Linked DNA regions of Arabidopsis thaliana. The protein of the gene in region 3 interacts with the protein of the main gene of each other region in a pairwise test. Each region holds a gene or a part of one and is shown on either strand. Other genes may lie near its edges.

The links.
Region 1: the proteins of NAM (region 3) and FER1 interact in a two-hybrid assay, tested with the Arabidopsis thaliana proteins (one large-scale study listed by BioGRID).
Region 2: the proteins of NAM (region 3) and HVA22D interact in a two-hybrid assay, tested with the Arabidopsis thaliana proteins (one large-scale study listed by BioGRID).

Annotation. Positions count from the first base shown.
Region 1 is NC_003076.8:227,365-231,677, forward strand, and holds FER1 (ferretin 1), read right to left. Parts: upstream 2,688-4,313; 5' UTR 2,231-2,687; coding exon 1,923-2,230; exon of another isoform or gene 1,899-1,922; intron 1,834-1,898; coding exon 1,750-1,833; intron 1,638-1,749; coding exon 1,577-1,637; intron 1,477-1,576; coding exon 1,389-1,476; intron 1,288-1,388; coding exon 1,226-1,287; intron 1,131-1,225; coding exon 1,065-1,130; intron 972-1,064; coding exon 908-971; intron 820-907; coding exon 785-819; 3' UTR 589-784; downstream 1-588. Other genes in the region: AT5G01610 (hypothetical protein (Protein of unknown function, DUF538)), read left to right, coding at 3,711-3,797, 4,121-4,175, 4,260-4,313.
Region 2 is NC_003075.7:12,826,150-12,829,885, reverse strand, and holds HVA22D (HVA22 homologue D), read right to left. Parts: upstream 2,031-3,736; 5' UTR 1,827-2,030; coding exon 1,780-1,826; intron 1,660-1,779; coding exon 1,633-1,659; exon of another isoform or gene 1,505-1,632; coding exon 1,198-1,504; intron 1,046-1,197; coding exon of another isoform or gene 1,026-1,045; intron 931-1,025; coding exon 904-930; coding exon of another isoform or gene 867-903; 3' UTR 583-866; downstream 1-582. Other genes in the region: AT4G24950 (uncharacterized protein), read right to left, coding at 3,131-3,604.
Region 3 is NC_003070.9:19,688,208-19,692,425, forward strand, and holds NAM (NAC (No Apical Meristem) domain transcriptional regulator superfamily protein), read right to left. Parts: upstream 2,383-4,218; 5' UTR 2,224-2,382; coding exon 2,034-2,223; intron 1,937-2,033; coding exon 1,632-1,936; intron 1,546-1,631; coding exon 1,078-1,545; 3' UTR 501-1,077; downstream 1-500. UniProt on the Arabidopsis thaliana protein: May encode a transcription factor involved in the elaboration of shoot apical meristems (SAM).

The DNA.
Region 1 (4,313 bases), on a different chromosome or scaffold from region 3:
CATTTCCTTGCTTTTGATCAGAGCATTACTACTGTGATAAGTGTTCTTGTTAGGGTCATACAAGTATCCAATCTTGATTGTTCCCGTGCGAGGGACTTCTTCGTCATTATACAAATAAGATTCTCAATCTTTACTTAATGCTTAGTGGTTTGAAGAACCATGATGAAAAGATAAATCACTAAGGGAGAATCTGTACATGAAAAGCTTAATGGTGTTTTCATACGTCATGAACTTCTTATGGATACTCATTTTCGTACATTTGTCAGCTCTTTGTAGAACAGACAGGTCTTTGTTTGGTTAGAAATGATTTTCTACTGTTCAACATGGAATCAAAGTAAGAGCATCTCTTTTGCTTTGATGTGACAGTGATCTTGTTCTTGTTTGCTGTTCAGTTATATCCCAGTGACCAGCTTGTCCTTCTCGGTGGAAAGTGACATACGCTTCATGCTTCTTTTACATGTTCTTCATAAACAGGTTCGTTATGCTTACTCTTTCAAGTTGGATCATAAATATTCTATGTTTAATTAGATAGGTCTGAGTTTTCACTATTTTCTTAGTTACGCATTGTTTGGCCGTAGGTTTATAGCTAGTTAGAATATACTAAAACAAAAACTTCATTGATTAAGCTTACGAAGTTATTACAAAAACCATCTTGAACACAAAGCTTACTACTACAATCTTATTAGTCCATAATGTTCAATCTAAAGCTTTTACAGAATCTTCGGGTTCTTCTGTTTTAACCCCAACATTGGTCATCTGAAAGTGAACTTATAGAGGTCCAAGTCTAGTTCAGAAGCATCTGGTCGAAATGCCAAACTCCTGCAAAGACAGAACAAATGTAAATAAGCTTTTAGAAATACCATTCAAGTCTGAGAACACTATCTCAATATAGGGTTTTGATTCGTACCGTGGCCTTTGCCGATCATCCTTAGCTGGGTGATGTAGTCTGAGATCTTCTTGATTGCTTCAATCTAGAAATAGTCCATAATATATTCTGAGTCAGAACATGTACAGATTATACAAGTCACTAGTTGTAATCCGAACAAAGGCAAAAGAACTTTTACCTGCTCTCCCAGAAATTCACTCTCAACGAAATCAGCTAACTGGGGATCATTGTTCTCTGAGGCCACCTGTTTTGTTGGCCAAAAGTACGTGTTAGTTAGTATTAGGAAAATGACTATAAGTTTAATCTTTGATGATCAAATGGATAAGTTAGGGAACTTACTTTGTGAACGTTTAGAAGCTTCTCATTAGTGAGTTTCTCTAGAGACAGAGCCAACTCCATTGCTGAAAACAAAGATTAGTAAACTAATAAATATCTGTATCTTTAAAAAAAAAGAAAAGTTGTTATTTTAGGATTAAGATAGTGTATTTGCTTAAAGTTTTACCATATAAAGCATCTCCTTTTTCAGCATGTTCGAATTCTGAGATAGGTGAGACGATAGGGTGGAGTTTCACTCTTCCTCCTCTTTGGTTCTGTATAGAGACAACAAACCAACAATATGAATATTAACTAAGTGAATCACAAGTCTTTATCAACTTTTCTAAAACAGAAAAGAAGGTAAAAATAGAAAACCTGGTACTCCATAAACTTCTCAGCATGCCCTCTCTCTTCCTCACTTGATTCCTTGAAAAATCTGGTGATTATAAAAACTCATGTTTAGTATGGACATATATATCTCATTTTGAAGTATACGATCAAGATTATTATAAATAAGATTAAGATTAGAGTTAGAAGGTAATAATTACTTGGCTAGTCCCTTCATAGCAACGTTGTCTCTGTCAAAGTATGCGTACATTGAATGGTACACATAGGAGACGTTGTATTCCACACTGTAAATAGAAAGCAACCTCCTCCGTTAGATCTAATCTTTAAACATTTTCGTTTCTTTAATTAGACAGAAAAGAAAAGAGAAGCTTACTTGATTTGCTCATTAATGACTGCCTCGCTAGCGTCGGCAAACCTCTGGCGAGCGAGAGAGGCATGAGATGTGATTGGAATGGCCAGATCGGCTTTCTTCACCTCTTCGAAAGGCTGGAACACGACTCCGGTCATCGGCATGTTGTTTGTGTCCACCGTAGCCGCTGCAACGACCACTGCTCTGCCGCCGCCAACTTTCCTGGAGAAGCCGAGAGAAACCGACGGAGAAGCAGAGCCGTGAGGGAGTAGTGGCTTAGGAGACAGAGCGGGATTAGCGGCGGTGAAAGACGAGAGTGCGTTTGAGGCCATCGTTGGAAAATGTAGAAGAGGATAGTGTTGAGCCGCCTGAGATTTGTTGTAAGAGATGGTGATGATGATAAGAAAGAGGAAGGAGGAAGGGTTTATATAAGAGGGAAAAGGCGTGTGGTCACCGTTGGATTGAGATCCACGTGGAGGGTGGATATGAAAGCCAGATGTAGGGGCGTGTGGCGGCCTCGTGCTACATCCAATGGGATAGTGTGAACGTGAGGATATTCGATCCACGTTAACATCTCTCCAAATAAAGTTTGTCTGTTTCTCTGCTTTCTCTTTTATCCTCAGAATCTTTTTACCATTTCCGGTTCCTACTCTCGCGTTGCCACTTTCTTATTTCCTACTCGCTCTCTCCTATTTTTCGAAATGTATTTTTTAGAGTTGTAGATGATAACAAATACAATTGTTTACTATAAAAAAAAAAAAAGAAAAGATGATAGCGTTTCCAACATAAGTTAGACGTGTAAAATCCTGTGACACATATTGACATAGGAAATCGGATAGAGATAAAAGTATTTCCATATTGTTTTTATAAAAAATCATCAAGCTACTAGAACATAAGATTGAGAATGGTCCAAACCCTTTAAGACTTTCCGTATTATGTGGCCTAATATTCATAATTTACAACAAAGAAGGAAAAATTCGTGGCTCTCTAGGATATTTGATGGAGACGGAAAACTGATATACAATTATACATAGGATAGAGTCGCGAGTAGCTCAACTCCACGTAATTTCCAGCTAAAGCGCGTGAGAGGTTCCAAATGGTTCCTTGTCTTTATCGGAGACAATTACACGTCGGAGTAAGTACATTGTGGGCCTCATTAGTAATGTCACGGCCCAAGTTAAAAAATCATATCAAATGGTTTTTCTAAAAAGTTGTAATGTTGGCAAGGACAAAAATTAAGCATTAAATAAAGTGTAGTTAGGCTTGGTTTTATTTTATTGGCTTGATTTGAATCGATTCGTATTACTCTGGAATGCACAAAGACAAGGGTAGGCTATAAAAGTGTTAAAGAGCTTAATAATATTTTCGACTGTAATTACAAATTTAGCTGAGGTTCGTCTAATAGACAAGTAAAATCATGGGAGGAATGGCAAAAAAAAAGGATTGATTGTAGTCTTTAATTTTACTCTGTTTTGTGCCATGTGGTTCTTCAGTTCCCAAGTTGTGTTGCACCTATTTAATCTGATTTTCATTGAAGGCCCAATAGATAGATAGTCAGTCCCAAGGAGGAGTGATAGGCAAGTACTTTTTTTTGTAATTTGTACAGTATAATGCTGCCTGCTTGCTTCAATAAATATATTGGTGTTTATGTATTTGCCACATGTCATAAGTTAATTGGCTGCAGGAATAGTGCACAAATAACGAATCCAACGGTGCGAGAGTGGTGGGTTCCCAAAATTCTTTCCCGGAAGAAAAAGAAAGAAAGTCGTCCTTCGTTTTCTCAAAATCTTCTCTATCCTTTCTCGAGAGAATATGGATCAGATCTTCAACAAGGTTGGATCCTACTGGTTAGGCCAAAAGGCTAACAAGCAGTTTGACTCCGTCGGCAACGATCTCAACGTACGTCTTTTTTTGACCCATCCTATAGAATCTGATTCATCTGTTTTCCTAATCGATTTTGATCTATTGACGTGGTTCCGATATAATCAACCACCTTTATCGTAATTTTGGTATCATGCAGTTGTACGAATGTTTTGAGTTCATTGTTAGGTAAATCACGTCACATAAGGAAGAACATCTAATTACCAAAACCATGATATCTTAAGAAATGATTCAAATATATGATCCTATAATGTCTTCTCTTCTTGCTCATGTGGTTAGATTATTTTGTTTGAAACTGTGATCTTTTCTAACATATAAAACAATGTTTTTGTTTATGCCAGTCGGTGTCAACGAGCATTGAAGGAGGAACAAAATGGTTGGTCAACAAAATCAAAGGTTTGCTTTTTTTTATTCTTCTTCTGACTGCATCTTTCAATTTTTTGTTTTTTTGAAATTCCCCATTTGTCATCATGTTGACAGGGAAAATGCAGAAGCCGTTGCCTGAGTTACTAAAAGAATATGATTTGCCGATTG
Region 2 (3,736 bases), on a different chromosome or scaffold from region 3:
ACCAAATAATTTTCTAATCGAGAAAACAAATCAAAACATATATTCAATAAAAAAACTCAAAAAAATACAAAATAAAAAAAATGACGATGCCATGAAATACTCAGAGAATTACACTAGCTAATGAATGGATGAAAGGATAGATCATACTTACGTTTGATTTTTGATTTTGATTTTGATTTTCGTTAGTTTGGGTAGATGCCATAATTGAGAAAATAGGGTTTCAATATATTGATTAGGGTTTTCTGATAAGAATAAAATATATAGGGTTTGGATGGAAGATATAATTATTTTAATTAATTAAAAAAAAAAATTAACCTAACCGCTACCGCCCGCAACCGCAAACGCTTACGGGAAGAAGCTTTTGAAATCTGGCGATTTCAAGCGGTCCAAAACGGTATCTAGCGGTTTCTATGATTAGTGTCAAACGCTAACAACCGCTACCACCCGCAAACGCAGCGTTTGCAGGTGGCAGAGGGAGAACCAATCAAAACATTAGTCACTGGTTTAAATTGCGTTCTAACTCTGTAAGCCTCACTTCAATTTTGGTTTTAGGCCCCAAAAAAAGGGATATACTGTTATGGGTTTGATTCGGTGAGATATTTGCGTCATCAAAATATGTATGATAAGTTCAAGAAGGGACACAATTGGAAATTATTAGCGTTGACATTAAAGAAATACGCGTGGAAGATTAGCGATACAATCATACAAGCAGAAGAAGCCATTTTCTAATTTAAAAACGATTACACACCTCATCAGTCATCATCATCAACATTCCTAAACCCATTTTTTGTGATAAATAAAAATAAAGTAAAAAGTAGATTAGACAGGGACATGATGGGACCACCACCAAGACCATTACAATAATACTAGTCAGGCTTCTTCTGTCTGCTCCACCCTTCTGATTCAGTGACTGTGAGCCTCGTGTCCCTCCTATATCACATTTTAAAATTCACAATTAATTTAAAAACGAATTAAAGAATTAACAAAAGTATACAAAACACTTGTTATACGCTCATGGTCGCTACGTTAGAGAATTAGGCACACTCTTACGTTTCCTAGGACTATATTCAATGCATTATTAATCTTTATAAACAAAGATTCGTTCTTTGACCCACCAAAGAATACTAAAACTAATGGTTACTTTTACTTTTTTTTTTTGCTTTATGAATCTCAAAACCAAAAAGATAAAAAATTTACCCGGTGGGGGAAAATGGAGTGGAGGATGTTGGGCTTGGTGGGCTTGGAGTGGGTGGAGCGGAGGACGCCGTGTTTCTTGAACTGTTCTCTAACAACACGGTTGTAGATAAAAGCTGCGCCTTGAAACTGAGGAAGAACTAGCCAAGCCACGAACACAAGTTTCACCGTATACCAAATCGGAATCCACTCAATAAGCGATTGCAGAATCAGTTCCGTGAGTGAGAGGAACGAATATATTATCCAATACGCAAGCCACTGTTCATCGTCCACTTTTGTTGTGCTCTCCATTGCTATCACCGATGCGTACCTGTAATCAAAAACATAATTAGTAAATATTCACAGATTTTTGTTTTTAATCTTCAACAAAAAGTAGAGAGATCGAACCAGAAAGAAACTTTTTCTTTTGTTAAAGGGTTTAACAAGAGAGAAACTTACAATGGATAAAGTAACATCACGATAGGCCTGCATATACATTACCAACAAATCGATTACGGTTTGGATTAGAAATCGAAACAGAGGAAATCAAAAAGTAACTAATTTTGGAAACATAATGGAAGGAAAATTAAGATTAAGAATAATTACCCAGCGCCTGAATGAAGAGCAGTGAGGAAAGTCCAAAATTTGTCCATTGTTTTTCTTCCTTTGCAAGATTTTTGGAAATGTTTAGGGGCTCTGTGAAATAAGAGAGAAAGAGAGAGCGACAAGTCTGTGTAAATTTCGAGGCGAATCAATTTTATGTAGAAGAAGAAGACAAAGAAATGTGAAAGGAAGAACCTAATTTATAGAAGGAAGGTAAAGGTATCTAAGAGAGAAATGGTACGGTTTGCTACAGAAGTTGGTTGGTTCACACACTTTTCATTGGCTCTTATTGGTGGAATATCATAAATAATATTTTATTTTTATTTTTTTAATTAACGTCGTACTAGAACGCTGATGCCGACATACAACTAGTCCGGTCTGGTCTGTCTTTGGTCTGTCTGGTTCGATTGGGTTCGGTTAGTTTATCCCACACGTGGCGAGATTCTAAGCTTGAAGGCGTCGACATGGCACCGACCTTAAGAATAAAAAAGACAAGACGTCGGTCGGTGAGAGCTTATGTCATTTCTTTATTTCTTTATTAATCTTTTAAAGAGATACTTTTGTCATTTTATTAATCTTTTTGCTGATTATTATTTTACCTTCTTTGCAAAGTTCAAAATTTGTGATTAGTTTGATTAAGGGTGAAACTAATGGGTTTGATTTTCTCCCAAGTCACGTAAGCTTCGGAAAAAGTTATGACCCAATTACATTCTTTTGTTCCTTTGATAGTCTAATTATATATATTTTGAATCTTCTTAACAAGTAACTTCGTAAAACCCAACAAATAGTTGATTCAAGTAAAACATATGACTGATGGATTCAAAATGAAAGATATACTTGGAATTATGCTTTTTTTCTTTTGGGCAACAAAACACTGCAAATTCATAAAAATAGCTTCCAAAAATGAAAACCCAATAAAGATGTAACAATTGAATGTGTGGCCTTCTTTTGTTTGAGTCCATTTTCTATTTAAATGATTAGCATCTTTTTTTGCTCAACTAAATGATTAGCTTTAACCATACTAATTTTACACAAAACATATTTTCAACATTAGTGTCACCGATGCACCTAATCACCACCAATGTAGTTCTTTCCCCAAAAAAGTTTATGAATAGAAAAGATGTAGAGGGGTGTAGTTTTTGCTTCTTCATCCAATGATAGAGTATTATTTTGTAAGATTTTCCTAAAACCATAAATACATACATTACTTATACTGTTTTAACCAACATAGTTACAGCCAAAGTTGAAGAGGTTCAATGAATTAAAAGAGAAGGCGAGAGGTAATAATACAAAACTAAACTTTTTTTATTTATTGAGATTGATGAACATTCTCAAACCAAAATAAATAAAAATATCAAGTAGGAACCAAAGTAATGATTTGTGTATTCATGGAGAGATGATCAAAGTGGTTCATCAACACAACTAAAACCCATGACAAAAGCAGCACCATTGTAACAGAAACAAATCTTCTAATCGTTGTCTTCTTCTTTGCTTTCGTGGTATCACTCGAACTCGTCACATTCGAAGACCAACAAGATGAATGAGAAAGCAATGTCGTCTTCTTAGTTTGATCATCATCATCAGAGTCGTGAAAGAGTTTTCTCCTTAATGGCGATATTTCTTGTATCATCTCTGCCTTTGGTTTGTGTTGGAGAGAGAGCATTAGGTTTCTGGGAGAGTTTTCGACATACTCAAGAGCATCTTCCACGGTAATCCATGAAACCGCAGATGAGTTTTTACCTGTTTTCATGGCTGTCCATTCCTCCTCAAGCTCTCTCAACTTCTCCTTCAGATGTTCGTGTGAACTACTCTCCTCTCTTTCTTCCATTTTCATTTCTTACCATTTACTTTGCTATGAATTAAAATGAATGTGGTTTATATCACTGTGAGATCTCTCACTAATTACTTTTAAAAACTTAGCTAGTCTTTGAATTGAATTATAATATTTGAAATTTGAAAT
Region 3 (4,218 bases):
AAGAAGAACATATATATTAGAGAGACACTAAATTTTGGAAACTAGTAATTAAATTGTGTTATGAACTCACCAACATGTGCATAGAGGATCGGCTAACACATCGCTGACAGTAGCATTCTGCCTTTCGAGTTGATTAGCTTGAACTTCATTACTTGCCATGGGAATAGCTTCTCTTTTCTTGGAAATCAAATTTGGTTAAGGATGGTATAAATATAATATAAAGAGATGGATATGTATGCCTTTTTTTGTTTAATATAAACGTAATATTGTGTTTTTTATTATTCTACTCAGCATCAAATTTGTATTTATCATTATGAAAAGAAAAGAAAAAAAAAATGATTAAAGATGTCCATTACATGTATTCGATTCGAATTTAATTATGAACATCATATTTATTTTTTGAACATTGTTTTTACAACAAGTGCAACATTTGTTTGATCTAACAAAAAGATTAAAACTTTTCAGTTTAAAACTATTGATTCAAACCAGATTTGAAGGCCCTTTGTCGTATCTTTTATCTCCACTTATTTTGATTGCCAAGATTTGGTTCCGAACATGTTTTCGACAAAGTCAAATAAAAGCTCCGCCAGATAGTTTCATTATCGTCTGTTTCTTATAAGTTAGGGTCTTCTACCAAATAGTATTTCTGATGTCACTTTAAAATCATGTTTTTAAAAAATAAAATTTGCAGCAAAACATGCGAATGTTGAAGCTGATAGTACTGAAAATAAATAGCTGAAGAAAAGCACAAGGGTAATCTAGTTTCTATAACTGTTAATATATTTTTATATATATGCATGCATTAATTTATACAAGCTACAAACATCTAAGTATAATCATCACCTATACATTAGTAAAAATAATAACATGAAAAAGAAAAGAAAAGAATATTTAAACTATTGTTGTATAATTTCTATATGTTACCTTATACCTCTCCTCCAATCTATTTAATTTAATCTCCTTAGTTCTATAACACTACAATAATAATCAACCGTAAATAAATCCCCCAATGCCCCCTAATCACTCAAACCGTATATATATACACAAATTTTAAAAATTCTTCATCGTAAATTGTTTTCAAGAATACCAATTCAAACCAGGCAATTGGTAAATCCCACCTTGGTTCTGCATTAACGGCGTCGCCGCCATAGAAGTCGAACAATCTCCAACGCCGCCGCCGTTAAATCTCTTGCTAGGTGACGACGACGATCCAATACCGGAATCTTGATTTAGACTAGTCATCATCATCACCGGTGGAAACAACTGCTCCTGCTTTGATCCAGATGCGAAACAATGATTCATCGAGTAACTTCCACCTCCGTATCCGCCGCCGCCACCATCATATATAGCCGTCGGATCATTATTGTCAGAAAAAATCGCCGGGAAGTGAAGACCAGGAGGAACATGACGGAATCGATCATCATCAATCATCATATCATGACGATGATGATCATTATCTAGATGAATATGATGAAGATGATGATGATGTCTAGATGCTGTACTATTGTTTTTCTTGTAGATACGACACAACACCCAATCATCAAGCTACATAGTAATAAAAAGAATCAAAAATTAGCCAATCAAAACTTTTCTTTTAAAATCAAGATTTTAAGAATATTATAATAATATACCCTGAGAGAGTTTTTCTTGTTGCCGAAGTCACAAATATGAGTAGGTTTATTATCAGTTAACCGATATTCATGCATAATCCAATCTGATTTAACTCCTTTTGGTGGTTTACCACTGTAAAACACTAGAGCCTTTTTAACTCCCACTTTTTTACTACCACCACCGCCGGTTGAAATCACCGGTTTATCTGTACCAGTCGCTTTCCAATAACCGGAAGTCGCAGCTCGGTTAGGTCTAGCTCCGTTGGGATATTTCCGATCTCTTGGACTGAAAAAATACCATTCTTGTTCTCCAAACGAAGCTTTCGCTGTCACAATCAAGAACACAAAAAAAAACAAAAATCAGTAAAAAAAAAAATGAAACAGATCTGATCGGATTATGATCTTGGTCTTGTTTCAACTTACCGGGAAGTTCCCATGGATCAAATTTGTAAAGATCAACGTCGGCGATGATCGCGACTGGTAAAGGAACAGAATCTGCTTTGCGTTTGAGGTAATGAATTACAAGTTCTTCGTCTGTTGGATGAAACCGGAATCCTGGAGGGAGGTTTGGTTGCGGCGGCGGAGGACCACCGGAAGAATCTGTACTCTCCATTAAAATGATGATCGGAGAATATTTTTTATGGTTTGAGAGAGTTTTAGAGAGTCGGCGTTAGTAATCTTTCTTTTTAAAAATGGAAGGCATTAAAACGACAAATCAAAATGGCTTTTATCCTCTGGAATCTTTTGTACGTAGACCATCGTATCCACTCGTATTTATTTACAATTTTTGAGAATTTTTTTTGTATTAAAACCATAAATGTCTATGAGATTTTTTTGTTACACATCAAATGGTATTTCTATTTATATTTGTGGAATATGGACGATCAAAACGTATTAATTACCGTAGCTATCTAAATCAATAGTTTGTGTTACAGTTTAACCTATTGTAGAGATCTAATATATTTAATATGTATAGCTGTACGCTATGTAGTTATATATGTAGATTAGCAACAGGAAAAAGGAATAAAATGTCATACCAAAAAAAAAACGTTTTGACCCATATGTGTAGGAAGGTGTAGGTAAAGAGATTTCTATCATTGATTTCAAATTAAAATAGATGATGCTATCTTATCTTCGTGAATCATGAGAGAGTACATTTAATTTGCTTTGTTGATCCTTTTCACTAATTAATTTGATCTATATGTACTTAGCTAGAATTAAATCGTAGTTTATCTTTCATCTTCTGTAGATTTCAATTCATAAGATGATAAAACCATTTGTTTTTTGTAAAGTTTGTTTGACCTACAAAATACTGTTAATCTCAGATTAGTGTTTGTAATTAACAATTGTACCCCAAAAAATAATATTTTATTATTTTAGACCCGGAATATTAGAATTTGTTGGCAATCAATAATAATACATAATCTCCCATAATTCAGCCGAGTTTAGTGTGGTTTGGTTTGTACTAAAAGGAGATAAAGAGTGGCGACAATTCGACACATATACAAAGTCTGACTAATCATGTCGAATCTTTTTAAATTACGATACTAACCAAGGCAAAGGAGGGTAAAATAGTGATTTCGGAGTCGATAATGACTTTCTTAACCTCTTTAACCATGCATTATCGTCTGTGTTCATATAGGCTCAAAGTGTGGCTTGACACGAGCGACCATTAACAACGATAGCGATTGTTTTCATCCAATAAGCATATATATATTTTTGTCTCTATAGTAAGTTATAATAAAAAAATTAAAAAAAATTATAATAACAAAAATCATATAAGAAAAGTGCACGGCACTATTAATTTAGTTTTTTTATCTATAAAATATTTTTAAAATAATATATACTTTAATAAATTTACATGGAACTTGCAAGGTTTCAACCAACCGATTTATTATTGTTTTACGTGGTAGTTTTTTTCATCATCCCTAAACTTAAGTGGTATACTATATAGTTTTACCTTTTAACGGTTAAACAAATACTTTAAAATAGAATAATTTAAAATTTAATGAAAACAGAATATAAATTAAAATATTTTTTACCAATGCAAAAACTTCTACGTATCACTTTTTTTTTTTGATTATCATGTGTGGACAAATAACTGAAGGTGCATGCTTCCAATAGTACCGTGTTATTCTGAGTACATTACGTCGACACGTGGCAAGCTGTAAAATGGGACCCGCTTAAGTGCCACACAAGGCAACAAAGTGAAAATTCAAAAAAGCTTTTTTACGTTTCAAATGTCATATCACGCTTTTGTATTCCCTTTGTATTTTGTGACCATTGGAATTTTATAAAGAAATTCATCAATTAACAAAAAATTAATTAATTATCTTGATAATTAATATATAACAATATATTATTTAATATATCTATTTTTGGTTATGAGTTACATAACAATATAAGCAAGAATTACCAACTGTTTGAGTAATGCGAAATTTTATTATTTTCACACTCTAATTTTTATTATTTCTTAAACCTTTAATCGTTGGTTTATATATATATATCAGACCTGATGCGTTTTTCTCACAAACTAATTTTCTATACAAATAGATAAAGAGATAATGAAAGGATTATTTGAGGGTGGCAATGAACGGATCTTATGAAC